Linked DNA regions of Arabidopsis thaliana. The protein of the gene in region 3 interacts with the protein of the main gene of each other region in a pairwise test. Each region holds a gene or a part of one and is shown on either strand. Other genes may lie near its edges.

Region 1 (6,862 bases), on a different chromosome or scaffold from region 3:
CTTTTGTCTGAAATTTTTGAAGATGTTTTCTACATTTTGTTAAAGATGATTTCGCCATATTGGAGCTTTAAACGTTTCAGACCATTTTACCAGTTGATTTGACCAAGATTTTTCCTCTTTTTTGATTTTTGCAACTTCATACCTTCTTTTCAGAGAAATATTTAATGACCGAAGCTTCGCTCGTTCTTAAGCGATGCTAAGTACTTGTATCTCCCTACTTAGCATAAAGCAACAAATAATATAGTCGAGTGTTGGGTATGATTGCTTTGTAAAGTATAATCAGAGGCTTAAAAAAATCTCTAAACTTGATTATAACAAAAAGTTAACTATGCAAATTTTCCTTGGCAATCCTAACAAAATGGGACATGGGACAATCTGTTTTAAGAGCATTGGGAATAATGTGAGATCTGCTAGCAGCGTAACCCTCCTGCAAAAATCCAAGGAGCAGAGCTTTTTAACTTTGTACCTTCAGATCAGTTTCTTCAGAGATCAAAGCTGTGAGAATCTAACTACTATTTACCTTAACTAGTGCACTCATCATCTTCTTCAACGGAGGTGAGTTCATCTTCGCACGGCTCGCCATCTAATCACGAAAACAAATCTTTTATCATGTAATGTGAATGAAATGCGTCTATCTTATCAATGAAATTAAAATCATGGTTTTAGAGGACCTCATCCATTTTTGTGTATCCAGGTGGTAGTCTGGGATCACTTTCTTCAATCATTATACTGAGAAGCTTGTCCAGATCCATGCCAGTGCCTTCACTGACCCATCCCCATTCCTTTGCCAATTCCAGCATTTCCGTAACATAGGATGCATCATGAAGCGGTCCGAGCCACATTGGTCCTGACACAACCAGTGAAGAAGAAGCCTTTGTATCACTGCAGGGACATCCCATCAAACCAAGTTCATCGAATCTCAATGTATGAGAATGGCCACATAGATTACAGTGCGTGACAAAACCATAGTTCCTACAGTTAAAAGACACAAAACAACTCCAATTAGAAACGCAACATAACCAAAACTCAATTCCTTTCGAGTCAAATTCTAAATGTAGAAACAACCTGTCCTCATGTAGCTTCCCACGGTGAACCCTCAGCATGACTCTAAACACAGGTCCGTGATAAGAATAGTACGAGAAAAGAGGCGTAACATGATAACCAAGCAGAGCAGCTTCTCTCACTGCTCCACCTATAAGCATCCGCAGCCCAATCTCATTCCCAAACGGCATTGGTCGAATAAATGCTCCATAAGCTGCTAAAGAACTACACCAAAACAAACCAAGAAATTTTTCAACTTTCAATCTCCTAGTCCCTAAATCATATCATGATTCCTAAAATACCACAAAGACTAATGGTATTGCTTTCACTCACTTATAAGGTCTGTGACCACCAGAAGAGTAACCATCAGTCGACGTCAAGTAAAGCAAACCACCCAATCTCAATGCATTAAACGCATCTCTCAAAAACGAAGAATCACTTCCAAACGAATCAATATCAATCATATCGAAGAAATCCGCAACCATATATCTCTCAATCATCGCTTTATTAGCCAACATATGAGTCACAACCCATCTCCTCTCATCTCCAGTACCTCTCTCTACTTTACTCAAATTATCCGTAATCACTCTCCGATTATCATCATTTGCGTCGTTCGCCATCACGAAATCAGCTTCAGCTTCCACAAGATAACGAAGCGACCTAATTCCACATCCGCACATTGCGTCGAGTACCCGTAAGCTTCCATTAGATCTCTTGTATAGCGTCGCTGACAAAACACCGAGGTCTCGTCCTCTAGCGCTTTCATGGCGGAAAAATGTCTCTCCCGTTTCAAATTCGAGATTCCTCTCAATTTGAACCTCGGATTTCACTAAAATTCGATCAAAACTACATTTCAAGCTCTTGAATCGACATGAATCTGGAGATTTACATTTAGGGTTTTGCGATTTGTGCACAGTGAAGAAGGAAGAAGAAGATAGGGTTTTAGGAGAGAGAGTCAACAACATAGCGGGAAAAAAAAAATCTGATTGTTTTGCTTGATTTTTTTTTTTAATCGTCTATCTAAATTAGTCCGTCCGATATTATGCCACGTGTACGGAAGAGATAAAAACCTCGTATTAGTAGGCCACGTCGTCAATCTTATGATTAGTTGGGTCCCACTTGTGTAATCGTCTATACTCGAGTCCACCTAAAGATACGATACACTTTTTTCCCTTTCATGGAATTGAGTTTCTACTGTTTCTGGAATTCTGGGTTTTGGAATTTGGAGAAATTAGGGTTTTTGTTGAATCATTCAAAAACATTGACCATGAAGATCATAGAGACTAAGAGTCTCCAACAAGAATGAAGAAAATCTATTTTTTTTCTTGGGTTGAAAATTATTTGAGAGGAGCAGGTGAAGTTAATTTTTTTCTCATTGATACAAAAATGGCAGATTGTTTTAGAGTCTCCACTATTATGAACCTTCCATAATTTTTTATTTTATTTTTGCTTATATTATCCCTTAATTTTTTGTCTTGGTGATAATTCTCTTTCTCCCCTCAATTAAAAAAAAGTTTATAGTATCGGTTTCTCTTCTCCTGATCAATGAATACAAATCGGTATTCGTAAACAATCCCTTCCGTTTCATTTTACTGACTCATATCTGTTTTTATCTGGGTTTTTATTTCTTTTCCCCTTTGTGTTTCAAAAAAGTTTTTGGTGTAACGTTTATTATCCATAAGATCCAAAAAAAACTAAAGCTGGAAATTTTGTTTCGAGGTGAGATAATCTTTGCTTAATCTTTAGGAATCCAATGAATACAAGCTTAATTTGCCTCTTAATCCTCGTTATCGGAGAAAGCAAAATGATGTTTCGTGTGAATCTCGTTTTTTGATTTTTGGGGTTTTCTCTTTTGTCTTAATCCATCTTCGTGGTCCTTGTGAAGCTTAAAGATGAAAACCAAAATGTCATATTTTTTTTCGTGTGAAAATGTCGATTCGTTACAAATCTTAAACCCTGTTCCAAGTTTTGATTTTTTTTGTTTGTTTGTTAGCAGGAATTAAAGCTTCTTGAATATTCAAAGATTAGCCCAAAGAATCTCTGGACAACTGGTCTAAAACCGCAGGTACGCCTTTCACTACTTAAACCTCTCAATTTTGTCAACAAAAAAAAATGATTTTGGAAGAGACAGAGCTGAGACTTCTGAGCTAATAGTCATTTTTTCCTAAGGTATAATCATCACTCACGCAGGATAGTTTAGCTGTTTTGTTTTGTTTTCCTTTATAAATATTCGATTTTGCTCTGAGAAGCTAAACATTAGGGTACCTACCTAACACTGAATTCACTATTGGCATGCTCTGTTTCATTTTTTTATGTCTCTTGCTTAGGATGTAATCTCACTCACTCTCTGGATTAGCCTCGATTGTTCTTAATCAAATTTGGGAGCTCTAGTTATTAGACAATCAACTTTTACCTTGACTTCATTTTTTTCTTTTTCTCTGTCTAATGTGATGACAAAAAGGCCAATTTGAAATATTTTGTAATTCTGTTTGTTCTGTTGTTTGTAGATATCATAATTATATAAGGGGCTCATTGAGTTGTTGAGGATTCCTGTGTTATCACTCTGATGTTAGTTTGAAGTTATGCGCACATGGGTGAAATTCAAGAAAGATTGTCAGTTTCATCATCTTCGTCTTCTTCATCATCCTCATTGTCACTATCAACGGCACTACCTAAAGGAGATTCATTGCCGATAGATGCAGATTCTTGGATGATTGCAGAGGAGAGAGCTCATGAGATACTTTGCACTATCCAACCTGCCCTTGTTTCAGACAGAAGTAGGAATGAGATCATTGATTATGTACGAACTCTTATCATGAGTCATGAGGGAATTGAGGTTAGAAACTCCGCTTCTCTTTGCTGACATGTTAAAGATTTATGCTGTTTTGTTAACTTTCTATGGGAACTTGTTTATCTACAGGTCTTTTCATTTGGTTCAGTGCCACTAAAAACCTATCTCCCGGACGGGGATATCGATCTGACTGTCCTAACTAAGCAAAATATGGATGACGATTTTTATGGACAATTGTGCAGTAGGCTTCAGAATGAAGAAAGAGAATCTGAATTCCATGCAACAGATGTTCAGTTTATCCCTGCACAGGTCTCTTTGTTTATTTACTTTTTGGTTTCGTTTTTGTATTTTCTTGGTTGCCCAAATTTTCCTTAAGAAAGTTTGCTGATATATGATAGGTCAAGGTCATAAAATGCAATATCAGGAACATTGCTGTTGATATCTCTTTTAATCAAACGGCAGGTCTCTGTGCTTTATGTTTTCTGGAGCAGGTACTATCAGCTATTCAAAATCAGGCTCCAGAGGTTTACTAAACAGATTATTGCCTAGCTTTGATTCTTAGTTGTTGGTTAAACTCTGGTTTTATGTATTCTCAGGTTGACCAACTCTTTGGGAGAGATCATCTTTTCAAGCGTAGCATCATCCTTGTCAAAGCTTGGTGCTATTACGAGAGTCGAATTCTTGGTGCTAACACTGGATTGATCTCAACATATGCATTGGCAGTACTAGTTTTGTACATCATCAACCTGTTTCATTCATCTTTATCTGGCCCTTTAGCGGTAATCACTCTTTTTCTGAACCTTCAGCATCCTCTACATATATGCAAAAGATGAGAATATAGCATTGTCTTTCAACAGGTTCTGTATAAGTTCTTGGATTACTATGGTTCATTTGATTGGAACAACTACTGTATCAGTGTCAATGGTCCTGTGCCAATATCGTCCCTTCCAGAACTTACAGGTAAGGATGATGCCAAAAATCACAGATACTTCTCTTCGTGGCATTTTCTTGGCGCTATTTGACGTTTTAATTTGGTTCTTTCTCTTTCTATCTTTCCAGCAGCATCTCCAGAAAATGGGCATGAGTTATTACTTGACGAGAAGTTTTTAAGAAACTGTGTAGAGTTATATTCTGCTCCAACTAAAGCTGTTGACTCAAATGGTCTTGAGTTTCCTATCAAACATCTCAACATAGTTGATCCTCTAAAATACAGCAACAACCTCGGCAAAAGTGTTACACAAGGTACTCTATTGATAAAAGTTATACAACCAATATAGCAGTTGTCAAATATTAATTATTTTAAAAACATTTTGTTAGGAAATGTCCAACGAATAAGACATGCTTTTACACTTGGAGCTCGAAAGCTAAGAGATGTTCTTTCACTACCTGGTGACACCATGGGATGGAGATTGGAGAAGTTCTTTCGTAACTCTTTGGAGAGAAATGGTAAGGGACAAAGGCAAGATGTGAATGATCCCGTTACTGCTTTCGGTACTGGAAGATCAGAATTATCTGAACTTAGTGGAGATTTCGATAGTTCCTTTGGAAGACTTGTGTATGGGCAAATGTATCATGGGCATAGCTTACCTGGAACATTTCAGCATGGCTATATCCCGGTTAGTTCTCACCTGAGTGGTTGGGATATTGTTCGTCACCTTGTGACTTACCGAAAGAACGAGTTCCATCTTAGAAGTCTCAATGTATCAACCTCTATGCAGCCTTTTCCTTTGCATTCTTTACCTAATGGCTGTCAAAACATGAGAAAGACGAGAGGAACCGGCACTTATATTCCTGACATGGTATGCGATTAACCCCTTTGACGGACATTTTGGCTTAAAAATTAACTTATTGCTGCAAGCTTCTGAATTGCTTCTCAATGGTTGTTGCAGAGTCAACAGGTATACTCTGACAGGTTCAGAGAATCAGGTACTGGAACCTCATCAACGAATCATTTAGAAGCTTCCTCTGAGGCAATAGACAATGATGGAGCCAGTAGTTGCTGCAATCTTTCCGGTGAAGTGTCTACTTCTTGTACCAGTAACAAAGGAGAAGAATGTGTGAGACCAGAGAGTGTGCTGAAATCTCAAAGATCTGCGAATTTGGAGCTTGATGACAATTGCCAATTTCCACCACCAGAAAACCTAGTAGAACCTAGAACTTCAAGCACATTGGTATTGGAAAATGGCAAAGAAGAGAGTATCAGATCCTCCCAAACCATGAACGGCTCTTGACTTTTAGTGACTGTGACCGAAGCTTTGGTTGTTATCTTGACACCTTCAGGATTACTAGGTTCTCTTAACCACATGGACAAACTCTATTTAGTATTCAAAACTCTATATAGGATTCAAAAGATCCATCAGGAACTTGTTTTGACCAATGTTTCATTAGAGATCTCTTCTTCATTGTTGGTAGGTCAGAATATACAAAAGTGGTATAGATTAAGAGTTGATTTGGCATTTGTCTTTTCTTTGGAATCAAGATCCTTCAGACTTTTTATCTAAATTTTTATATGAGATTCAGTTTTACTTCTTGTCACTTCTGGCAATTTGTTTAGAGAGTGACAAACATTTAAAGTTGTCCGGGTAACAACAGGTTTCACGTTTTACAAGATACACGAGTATACAGAAACACAAAGGCAATCTCTGTTCTTTGGGATTTGAATGCCTCACAATAAAGAACTATACATCAGAGTGTGATACTGTCTGGGGAGTGAGAACGTACATATGACAGTCGTGTGCGTCAACTTGAGCTTCAAAGGAGCCAGAAGTATTCTCTGTTACATCTTTGTGCTGCCACAAATCTCTTACTGAAACGCTAATGGTAGATTCAAGACCGATCATATCCCATGATGCTGTAATAGTTGCTGGCTCAGAGCAACGGTTCCAGAGAGCAACTACCATACGGTCACCAGATAAAGGTCCTGACCACACCTGCAATGAAACAGTTATCACCAATTTGAGTCCTTGAGTTTGTTTTTTCTGCTTTCTCTATGAGTTTGATAATTCTGTGACTCCCAATTCATACCTGCTG
Region 2 (5,586 bases), on a different chromosome or scaffold from region 3:
ATATTTGTATATGTGTGTGATATGGACCAACTTTATTTAGCGTACTTGTTGAGATCATGGAAAGAAATCTTTTGAGGAGTTTAGCCTTTTTCTAATACAAAGAGTAGAATTATGCTAATATCAAGTTAAGGTTTTAGTTCTTCAATAAATTAGGATTTAATATTTTCTATTTTTATATGATTTAAGATATTCCGGGTTAAAGCAGAAGTCTTACCAAACTCATACATAGCGTTTCGTAAACAATTTAGATCAATGTCATACATGCGCTTGAGTTATTTTTATTGGACCTAAAATTTACTTGTTTAGAGAAACTAAGGTTTCCTACAAAAATGTACTCGTTTTAATCAATATTTGTTGAGATGTCTTAATCAATTTAAGATTAATGATCGAACAACACACATAAGAGAACGCCTTTTCATTTTATGCCGGAAGTTATACGAACATTTTTGGCCCCAACCATATATAGGCCGAGGTTAAAAAAATTGCATAGCATAATAAGCATGACATTAAATAAAAAAGCTTAATACATTATTTTGCTATAATACATGATAGTGACGAGATGTAATGTATATATGTATATATACACATATAGTACATGACTTTATATGTTTATTTGTTATAAATTAAAAGAAAATAACACCTACATATATAGTTTTTTTTGTCATTTGGACTTTGGAGAGTAATGGGGGAGAACTCTTTCAGAAGAAAGTGATCGTGTATGGAGTGAAGTCCAAGTTAGTTACTGAAAATATATACTAAAAAAGGGAGAAAAAATAAAAGAAAGAAAGTGAAAAAGTAGAGCCTTAGAAAATCAGCATTAAATTAAATAGGTCGATCACATCGTTTTTTTTTTTTTTTTTATTTCTTTAGAAAAGAGTGTACTTGAAGTAAGGAAGCTAAGAGTATGGTTGAAGTTAGCTTAAGAAAATGGTGATATAGAAGATAAAATCTCAAAGGAAAACTCATTGGATATGTCTAAGAATGTGGAGTTCTTTGGATTTGAATTCATTGTGTCTTCGATTTTTAGTGACTGTGCACAGTGTTCTCCACAAACTATTATATATATATATATATATATATTTTGGTAACCTAATCAAAGTTCATTTATCCATTTATTTTTATGATTTGTTGTATCATCATTGTTCAGTAAGACTAGAAACTTAGAAACAAATTCTTATGATTATATCTAACAGAAAAAAAAAATGATTAGATCAGTTTACACTTTCTTAATTATCAAGATATCGTAACAAGAAAATGATCAACCCTTCACTATATGGTTTACTTTAGTTCATCTATATATTGCCTGACTTTTTAGCTAACTAATGAAAACTAAGTTAAATTAAAAAAAAAAAAAAAATTGTTGCTTAAAGTTAAATATAATTATAATTTTTTTGAGGCCAGAATTTATATATAAAATATATATTTGTCTTTGCAACTTAGCAAGAAAACATCGTCCTAGGGGAAAAACTCATGAAGAACTTTTTATTTGGTTAACTCACAAGGAATATTTTGCTCTTCATGGATTGTAATTATACAACAAATGAAGTAATGTTAGATGTTCAAGAAACACTACATTTTACACCTATAAGAAACTATATTATTGTAATCGTGAAGTCTAGTATTTATTAAAAAAAAAAAAAGCTAGTATCTATCACTTTAAAAAAAACATAGAAGCTTTTCTTTCTCTGTGTGTATAGTAGTAAAACAAAAGAAGATACAGACTGGAGTCATGTTTCCTTAAGCCTATGAGTAATAGACTTTTATGTAGTTTAACAAAAAAAAATGGTAACATGTATTTGGAAAAAGTCTATTCTTTTACTTTGCAACACGTAGTCTAAAGAGCGAGCTTAAGCCAAAAACAATGGGAAGAAAACTAGCAAAAAAAAAGAGCAAAATAACAAAAATTAGATGATCAATAAAATATTGGAATTACATGTACGCGTAAACGTCGTATATTTTCCTTCGTGCCATTTCACCTTCCCATTATCTCATTGACTTTTCTTATCCCATATACGGTAGGAGCAAAACCATGTATGACTAGAATTATACGCGTTAAACAATTCTAGAATTTCTTACCTAAAACTAATAAATTCCGTATTTACTCTTCTAATTACGTTAACTCTTTACTTAAATGACAATTTAATGGGTTTTTTTTTTATTATCTTCCTTTACATAAATAAGCTTTGTTGAAAACATAAAAATATTGATGTAACTTTAATTTAAACCATTGATTTATAAAAACAAAAACAACTTTTTATACAGCTAAGCAAGGTTTGTGAATAAATCATCTTTGGTAAAGTCTCAATGAGATATGGAACCCACATGAGGGAGGTGAGATTACGATTTTTTTTAAAATATTTTAGAGAGAGAGAGAAGGAAAGAGACTTCCACATGAAGACAGGGTAAGGAATGGTAAAATACAGCTAGCAAAAGAAGTGTTTCTCACACCTAACTCTTTATAATAATAAGAGAGAAGCATCACCCCCATTGCTCTCCATTACTCATTTTTTTTCCCAATCAATCACTCTTCACTTCTCCCCACTCCTTACTCCTTTTTTTTTTGCCTTTCTAAGCAATCTCTCTCTTCTTCTTATATTCTCATATTTGATTCCTTTTCTCTCTCATACGATCTGCACACCACTACTAAGAACAACAGAGGTTTGATTTCCTCCTCCTCCTTCTTCATTTTTGGTTTTCTTTGGAAATTCTTGAAATTGTAATGTTTTTTTTTGGAATCTTGATGAGTTTTTGCATAAATCAAGAAGTGTCGGTGGAGGCATTTATTTCACACCAATTGTTCTGAATTCAGTTTTGTTTTAACACTCTTTTTTTTTTTGTAACTGAAAAATTTGTGTTTTCTTCTTGGTTTTCACACAAGAATTCTAGAAGATTGATAGATAAAATCAAGAATGCTTAATTAACGGTGACTTTTGACTTTTATAACCTTATAGTCTACTGTGATTTGAATTTGTACATAGAATGGTCCTCTTTATTTACTTATCAAAAAAAAAAAAAAAAATCAAAAAAGGTGGGCCAAAGAATGTTTATTTTTCAAAATTTTGATTTTTAAGGTGGTTCCAAAATTTGGTTCAAAATTTTCAAAACTTATTCAGAAACTTCCTCTGTTCAAACTCTTGTCATTTTCCTCTATAATATCATTAACCCCATCTCTCATTATTTATTCCAGCTAGAGAGACTTGCAATAATTGTAAAACATGATTGGAACAAGCTTCCCCGAGGATCTTGATTGTGGCAACTTCTTTGACAACATGGATGATCTCATGGACTTTCCCGGTGGAGATATCGATGTCGGTTTCGGCATAGGTGACTCCGACTCTTTCCCTACCATCTGGACCACTCATCACGACACGTGGCCTGCCGCTTCTGATCCTCTCTTCTCTTCCAACACCAACTCTGATTCATCACCTGAGCTCTATGTTCCGGTTAGTTCTACGCCCTCTTCGTAACGTATGATTTCAAACATTAAACCACAAGTTTCGTGAGTAATAATAAATGAAATTTTGTCATTATGGGTGGCTTTTAGTTAAGTCAAGTTTGTTTTTTTCCCGCTCATTATTTGTCTTACATTGTTTGGTTAGTTTTATGCTAACTTACGCACTCTGCTTTGTTCTGTTTTTGCCTTTGTTACCATATCACAAAGTTTCTGTTTTTATAGTTAAATGAAGTCTTTTTTTTTTGGCGCTTAATTGTTTCCCTATCTAACAATGTTTCTTTGATTGGGGTGAAATTGCAGTTTGAGGACATTGTTAAGGTGGAAAGACCTCCAAGCTTTGTAGAGGAAACATTGGTTGAGAAGAAGGAAGATTCGTTTTCGACAAACACTGATTCATCATCTTCTCATAGCCAATTCAGGAGCTCAAGTCCAGTGTCGGTTCTCGAGAGCAGCTCCTCCTCGTCTCAAACCACCAACACAACCTCCCTTGTTCTCCCTGGAAAGCACGGTCGTCCACGCACAAAACGCCCTCGTCCACCTGTCCAGGATAAAGATAGAGTCAAAGACAATGTGTGCGGTGGTGACTCGCGCCTCATCATTAGAATACCGAAACAGTTTCTCTCTGATCACAACAAGATGATCAACAAGAAGAAGAAGAAGAAGGCCAAGATTACTTCTTCCTCTTCTTCGTCCGGGATTGATCTTGAAGTCAATGGAAACAACGTCGATTCGTATTCTTCAGAGCAATATCCGCTTAGGAAATGTATGCACTGTGAGGTCACCAAGACTCCACAGTGGAGGCTTGGTCCAATGGGTCCAAAGACACTTTGCAATGCGTGCGGTGTACGTTACAAATCAGGGAGGCTTTTCCCGGAGTACCGTCCAGCTGCTAGTCCAACATTTACTCCAGCTCTTCACTCAAACTCACACAAGAAAGTGGCTGAAATGAGAAACAAGAGATGCAGTGATGGTAGCTACATAACCGAAGAGAATGATCTGCAAGGGCTGATTCCGAACAATGCCTACATTGGCGTAGACTAAAACATAGAGAAGATGATTCGATTTCCATGCGTTGAAGTGATTAGATATGCCAGGAGTAGGAAAGAGTCAGTGAGAAGAAAAGTTTTTAGCTTTAGAAGAGATGAAGGAAGAGAGCAATCAATTGGAGGGATTAAAAGTTAGATGAGAATTGATTGTGTTTGTATTATTTTGTATTTGTAGTGTGAATGGGCAAAAAACTCTTGAAACAGAGGAAAAGTAAGTTGAGGAAGAGCAGAAGATTTTGAAGACATTAGAGAATCATTAGGTGTTGAGTATTACATTAAATCTTCCTCTTCTTCTTTTGTTCTTTCAATTCTTTGTATTTTTATTGTGAGGATTCTCTTTTTTTTTCTTTTTTTTTTTGTAGTTGATTTGTTTAGCTAAAGGATTCTTTTTTTTTGTTTTTGTTAAAATCCAATGTTATAAATTGTTAATTATTAAATGGTTTTCTTACCATTGAAACTAGACATTGCTAATTACATTTTTGTTTTTGTTTTGCCGACAAGCTAAATACATGTCTAACATGACATAGTAATATTACTGGCTGATTCAAGTCTAAAATAGATTAAAAAGGTTTCTAGTTTATGAAAGTTTTTATGGTTAAGTTAGAGTTAGTGGCGAGTTTAAATCAGTGTTTTATGATACAAGCAATAATGTAAAATTAAATGGAGATGAGAGATAGAGTAACAACCACTATATCTTTTTCTAACAAGGACTTCACAAACTAGCTTTTATGTAAATCCACCCATCTATGATGCCAATTTAAAGTAAGAGTGTTTCTTAATTTAACTACCTTTCTTTCAAAACTCACTCATTTTCTTTTTCTTTCATAATTATTGAAACTAATTTTTTCAGCATATTAAATTTGCTGAACAATGATAAAACAATATGAACGAATGATTTTAGTATTTAACTTTCGTCCTCATGTAGCCATGTTGTTATTTTCAAACCATAAAGAGGACTTAAGAGTCGTCAGATAAAACAATGATATTTTCGTATTCGTCGATGCACTAATAACCAACTCGATTGGACAACATATCTTACTTCATTCACGATTTTGATGATTTCACCGAACAATTTTTTCTTTCTTT
Region 3 (5,901 bases):
ATATATAAAAATTTATATGAAAATTTATAATTTTTCATTCTGACTACTTTCATTTGATTTAGATACAAGATAAAAAACCATTTTTAGACCCAAAAAAAAAAATAGGTTAAAATATAAAATAAAAATGGTGGAGTAAGATATTGTAATTTTATTAAACAAAACTGTTGTAATGTTAAAAATTATGTAGGTGTTGAATAATGATGTGGTAGAAAGAAAAGATGATGTGGAGTGTTAAAAGTGAAAAAGTGGGTGTTGTAAATGAGTAACCATTGTAGATAAATAGTCTAATGATTAATTTTGCCAACAATGATTATCTCAACTTCAGGGATAAACCGGCCTAAATTTTAGATTTGAGTTTGATCACTTATGTGTGTTATGTCTGCATGCCTAATAAGAAGTATTATGACCAACAAATATTCAATGTCAGTGTAATCCAAATTTAGCAAAGCAATGTAAATGAGCTGCATATTATATGTTAAATATTGTGTGTACTCGTGTTCTTGTTTTTACATCATCAGTTACTAATTCTAAATCCGAAATTCCATCTACATACGTAGATCAATCAAAGTTGTCCTAAGAGGAGGCCTTGTGAGTCTCATTGGGTTTTACAGAAATCGTCGGACCTATTTGGGCTCAAACATATAAAAGATCCAAGATACTGGATTTAGGCCCAAACTCTTTTCTCAATACGATAGGATCCAAATCTTTTTGTAGCTGTGGAATGTGGTGGATAACAAATAACGTCACTTGGTAAAAATCCAACATTTTAGATTCAGCCATCGGTCGTACAACGTCACTCTCATCAACTTCTTTTTCAGTTCCCCAAATCACGATGATCGCTTAGTCATCACACCCATCTAGCATCCCGCCGTCAGATAAACCGGTCATTTACCCTTACCAACATACCGGTTTTCTCAATTTACAAATTCGGTTTGATAAATATCAATAGATTAGGTAAATAGAAATTAAGTTAATTCGGCACGTGTCACGAAAACTACCACATGGCGCAAAGGCCAAAACCACAAAATTCAGAAAAGTTGGTATGCTTCCACGTAATTGACATTTTTCACGTGATTTGCTTGTGACTACTGATGTTACAATTAGTAGACGTACCGTTCAATAACGTGATATTTATTAGAGATTATTGATTTGCATAATTAGTTACAAAATCACACGTCACAACCATTTTTCCCCAATATTACGTCCAAAACTGTTGATTCGTTTGATTTTTATTGTCCGTCCAATGACTATTTCGATTTATTATAACTTCTTGTGTTAGTAAATAGTAATTCAAGTCTATATATACTCTTATATCATAAATTAGGAAAAGTAAGTACTGTATACGATCATTGTATCTAATAAAATATGAAATATGCGAGCAATAACGGCCAAATAGAGCGTAACTTCAGTTTTTTTTGTGATACCTAGTTTTAAATACCCTAAACATCAAGTTACCTCAAATTGGCAAAACCTAATTTTGCTGAAATTGAAAGAAAAATAATATATTTTTATTTCTATATTTGACTTCATTTAAATATTATTTTCGAAATAAATATTTACCTACGATTGATTTTATCAACCAGTTGAACGAATAATCTTCTTTTTTGTATGTTAAGGTGCACTTATAATATATATTTCTATATATATCACATGAAAGAAAAATAAAATAATTTAAATAATAACAACTTTCAGAACTAAGTTTTTTTCATATTAATTATAAAAAATTTGTATAGTATACTATAGACTCAATAATAGTAAGTACTAAGCAGTAACCATCAATAACAATATTTTCTAGGACTAACATTTTATTTCTCTTCCTACGAACGTACCACATTGTATCATGATAGCCAATCAAAATACACAGTACTGAAACTAGTAATGATAATAAGTTAGGCAGCCTAATTATATACAACTTTTCAAATACGTCATATGAACAAATAACATTTTCCGTAATATGTACTGAAAATTTCCACGATAAAAAACAATAAAAATGCTCGATTAATGTTCTTATACACTGGCATTAACAATTCTCACAGCAAAACTACCACACTAATCACAATCTTATGCTCATGTAGTATTTTTAGACAACATTGTACATGTAGAAAGTTCTTTAACTCTTAAGTATTATCGACTAGTTTTTTTTCTAGAATGAATTTTTCTAATCGAATACTTTAAAAATAGAGTCGACGAAAGAGATTAAATATAACAAAACCAAACCACGTGAGGATCATAAGCTATGGACGAGGAAAATCGTCAAACTTTGAGATAAATTTTTGATTGATTAGGTGTTTGTTGTACTTTTTCTTATTAATATCCAGAATTCAGAACCTTCTCTTCCTCAAATCTGTCTTTATCCTTTTTAATTCAATTTTAATCTCAACTTTTCTATATTTTATCGTCTAAATTTAAAGAAAAGAAAAAACCCAAAAACAGAGGATTTTGATCAAGTAAAAGAAAGAATATTTTCTAGAGAAAGCAAATCGATTCTCTCACCTTTATATATATAACCTCTCCACCTCTGTTTCGTCTCTCAATATATATCCACTGGTCTTTCCTTTTTCCGGCAAAATTGTAACAGAACCAAAAATTACTCTGTTTTTTTTTATTTTCTTGACAAGTCTGCATTTTTCTCCTCTGTTTTGGAATTTTCTCGTTTCTGGTTTTCCGATCATAAAAAACAAACAAAACTACCGTAAAATAGGCTCTCTCCACAGAAAAAAAAGAAGACTTTTCTTTCATTCTTCTGCAAGTAACTGAGCAGATTTCGGTTTTTTCTTCTTCAAATTGATATTTTTAAAGTTATAAAAATTTCTTGTCCATAATTTCCGTTTTCCTTAAATTCAGCTGTCCTAACGTCAAATCTCAGACACTCGCTTGCGTGTCTCCCTCTCTTAAACTCTCTCTTTCTCTTTCTCTTTTGGTTTCTGGGTTATTTCAAAGAAAAGAATCAAGAAACCCCTCTTTCTCTCTTACAAGAATCCCATCATGGTGTTTGGAAAAGGGTCAAACCTTGACAGATTCCTTCATTGCACAACACCTGTAGTGCCACCCCAATCTCTATCCAAGGTTTTGAATCATTCTTTCTTTCTTCTTCTTCTTTCTTCTCTTAATGGTAATATTTAAATTGGTTGTGGATTCTGGCAGGCGGAGATTAGGAGTTTGAATAGGATTTGGCATCCATGGGAGAGACAAAAGGTTGAGTTTTTCAGATTGAGTGATCTATGGGATTGTTATGATGAATGGAGTGCTTATGGAGCTGGTGTTCCAATTCGTCTCTCTAATGGAGAATCTCTTGTTCAATATTATGTTCCCTATCTCTCTGCTATTCAGATTTTCACCTCTCGTTCTTCCTTGATCCGCTTAAGGTACCATTCATTGCTTTTTATATTGCCGCTTTGATACGTTTAGATTTTAAAGTTTGATCCTTTGATGAATCTATTGTGACTGACTCTTTTTTTTGGGTTGTTCTTGATTAGGGATGATTCTGAAGATGGGGAAAGCAGAGATTCGTTTAGTGATTCATATAGTGATGAGAGTGAAAGTGATAAACTTTCGAGATGTGCTTCTGATGAAGGACTTGAACATGACGCTCTCTTGCATCCTAATGATCGGTTGGGATATCTTTATCTGCAATACTTTGAGAGATCAGCTCCTTATGCTCGAGTTCCTCTCATGGATAAGGTAACTCAATGCAGCTTCATAAGATCAGCTTCTTTGATTACTAGGATTAGTCACTTGGTTGATTCCTAATTAGCAATAGGCGAAAAAGTATGTATGTATAGATTAGAATATATTATTATTCAAGACTTGAAATGAGACATATGATTTTGGTTGATTTCAGATCAATGAATTGGCTCAAAGGTACCCGGGACTAATGTCGTTGCGAAGCGTAGATCTTTCCCCGGCAAGTTGGATGGCGGTAGCGTGGTACCCTATTTACCATATTCCAATGGGAAGGACCATCAAAGATTTGTCCACTTGTTTCCTCACTTATCACACTCTTTCATCTTCTTTCCAAGGTACTAATCTTCTCAATCCTCTCGGATTCAAGTCCTTCGATGTGTTATATCCCGCGAATATGTAACCGTTATGGTCTTGATTTTCAGATATGGAGCCAGAAGAAAATGGCGGGGAAAAGGAGAGGATCCGGAAGGAAGGAGAAGGTGTAACTTTGCTTCCTTTTGGGTTAGCCACTTATAAGATGCAAGGCAATGTTTGGCTCTCGGAAGACGATCAAGGTCAAGATCAAGAGCGAGTTCTTTCGCTTCTAAGTGTTGCGGATTCTTGGCTAAAACAGCTAAGAGTCCAACACCATGACTTCAACTACTTCTCAAGAATGGCTCACCGTGGCTGAAACAAATCCGTTGCTATATACTGATGAGTTCAAATGTAGATTTTGTATCTCTTTTTGTTTTTCTTGTTGGTCTCAAGTGGCAAGGAGATTACTTTTTTCCCTGGTCGCAATATACCGTGTTTGTCCAGTGGTTGGAGTAGCAGTGGCAGCCGTGAAGAGGACTGAGCGTTTCCTTAACACACAAGTACAGCGGTTTCAACGTTTTGGGTGTAGAATAGCTTTAAAGTAGCATCAATGGGAGATGTCATATATTATAAGTGCTGATTTGTTGAAAAGAGTGGTTTCTTGTTTCTTGATAAACATTGATTGAGAGGGTCTTGTTCTTGTACCTCAGTAATACTTTAAAGGAGTAGCAAGTGTAACAATCTCATCATATTTGTAACTGTTTTTACCCAAATACATAAATCAAAGCTGATGATTTTTGTGTGTTTTATTGATCACTGGATCACTATAATGTGGTATTTTTGTGTGTTTTAAAGAATTGTCTATCTTTAAATCTGAATGGTGACACATTATAAATTCTGATTTATACATCATGATTTGTTCCGTTTTGAAGTAATTTTTGTTTTGAATTTTCAATATAAATATTGACATAAAATACCTAATTCAACCTCAAGTTACAAAGAATATATAACAAAACACGAAAAATCAATTAGTTGTTTTTGTAGAGGTATAATAAAATCGATCTCTATAGTGTTTTTTTTTTACTTGACACAAGAATTTTAAAAATACACTTATTGCATAACATATATTATGATGTTATTGATAATCACTTTACCAAACGGTAAAAAACGTTACAAAATATAAAGTTTTGACAGTTACTAATCACAAAAGTGTTATCAAAAATTCTATTTTTAGTTTTTTTCACAGCTTTCTTGTAGTATAATTTTTTTTATATATTGTTGCAGTATTCTGAAAAAGCTTACAGCTATAGCTAAGAGCTATTAGTTACCAATATTGTAAAAGGTATAAATTGTTGATTTATTCTGAAAATTATAATTTTTTATAAGATTTTTGTATATTTGAATATCGATTTAAAATTTAGAAAATTAGAATTAAATAGATTAACAAAATTGAAAAGACTTGTTATAAAATGGAAAAGAAAAGTGGGACCTCTGAAGACAAAAATGTCAAACATGTGACGGAGAAAAATCAAAGAACGTGGACCTTAGATTAGATTTGTAAATTGACTTGATGGAGTGTTCAGTGTTTGGTCCCTCCACCGATTTTTCTAGACACCTTCTAACTCTTTTTTGTTTACTTAAATGGAATGAATCATTTCCTAACAAATTATTTAAGTGGTCGGCACATTTCATTTTCGCGTAATAAATAGTGTACATTAATTTCAGACCAAAAATATATTACTATTATCATTACTTGCAAACAGAAACAATCTAAGAAAGTGATGTTTTTGGGTTTCTTCTCGACCTGAATTCACGTTGTCGATGTGCTGAGGACTGGATTTTCCGTTGTTTATTTGACGTCGACCAGTTTTTTTGCTTTATTTTTACACTTCATATTAGGGGGCGGGCATTCGGGTAAAGCGG

What was found. Proteins that work in one complex are often made in the same cells at the same time.
Region 1: the proteins of AT4G03420 (region 3) and AT3G56320 interact in a two-hybrid assay, tested with the Arabidopsis thaliana proteins (one large-scale study listed by BioGRID).
Region 2: the proteins of AT4G03420 (region 3) and BME3 interact in a two-hybrid assay, tested with the Arabidopsis thaliana proteins (one large-scale study listed by BioGRID).

Annotation. Positions count from the first base shown.
Region 1 is NC_003074.8:20,885,394-20,892,255, reverse strand, and holds AT3G56320 (PAP/OAS1 substrate-binding domain superfamily), read left to right. Parts: upstream 1-2,452; 5' UTR 2,453-2,760; intron 2,761-2,953; exon of another isoform or gene 2,954-3,037; 5' UTR 3,038-3,106; exon of another isoform or gene 3,107-3,302; intron 3,303-3,548; 5' UTR 3,549-3,631; coding exon 3,632-3,877; intron 3,878-3,961; coding exon 3,962-4,141; intron 4,142-4,230; coding exon 4,231-4,323; intron 4,324-4,428; coding exon 4,429-4,611; intron 4,612-4,689; coding exon 4,690-4,792; intron 4,793-4,891; coding exon 4,892-5,074; intron 5,075-5,149; coding exon 5,150-5,631; intron 5,632-5,721; coding exon 5,722-6,063; 3' UTR 6,064-6,362; downstream 6,363-6,862. Other genes in the region: AT3G56330 (N2,N2-dimethylguanosine tRNA methyltransferase), read right to left, coding at 323-427, 521-583, 672-972, 1,066-1,266, 1,375-2,006; AT3G56310 (Melibiase family protein), read right to left, coding at 6,511-6,762, 6,857-6,862.
Region 2 is NC_003074.8:20,293,742-20,299,327, forward strand, and holds BME3 (Plant-specific GATA-type zinc finger transcription factor family protein), read left to right. Parts: upstream 1-2,388; 5' UTR 2,389-2,658; intron 2,659-2,674; exon of another isoform or gene 2,675-2,923; intron 2,924-3,187; 5' UTR 3,188-3,215; coding exon 3,216-3,443; intron 3,444-3,754; coding exon 3,755-4,495; 3' UTR 4,496-5,086; downstream 5,087-5,586. UniProt on the Arabidopsis thaliana protein: Transcriptional activator that specifically binds 5'-GATA-3' or 5'-GAT-3' motifs within gene promoters. May be involved in the regulation of some light-responsive genes.
Region 3 is NC_003075.7:1,509,241-1,515,141, forward strand, and holds AT4G03420 (hypothetical protein (DUF789)), read left to right. Parts: upstream 1-2,356; 5' UTR 2,357-2,985; coding exon 2,986-3,066; intron 3,067-3,144; coding exon 3,145-3,365; intron 3,366-3,476; coding exon 3,477-3,681; intron 3,682-3,841; coding exon 3,842-4,019; intron 4,020-4,106; coding exon 4,107-4,354; 3' UTR 4,355-4,832; downstream 4,833-5,901.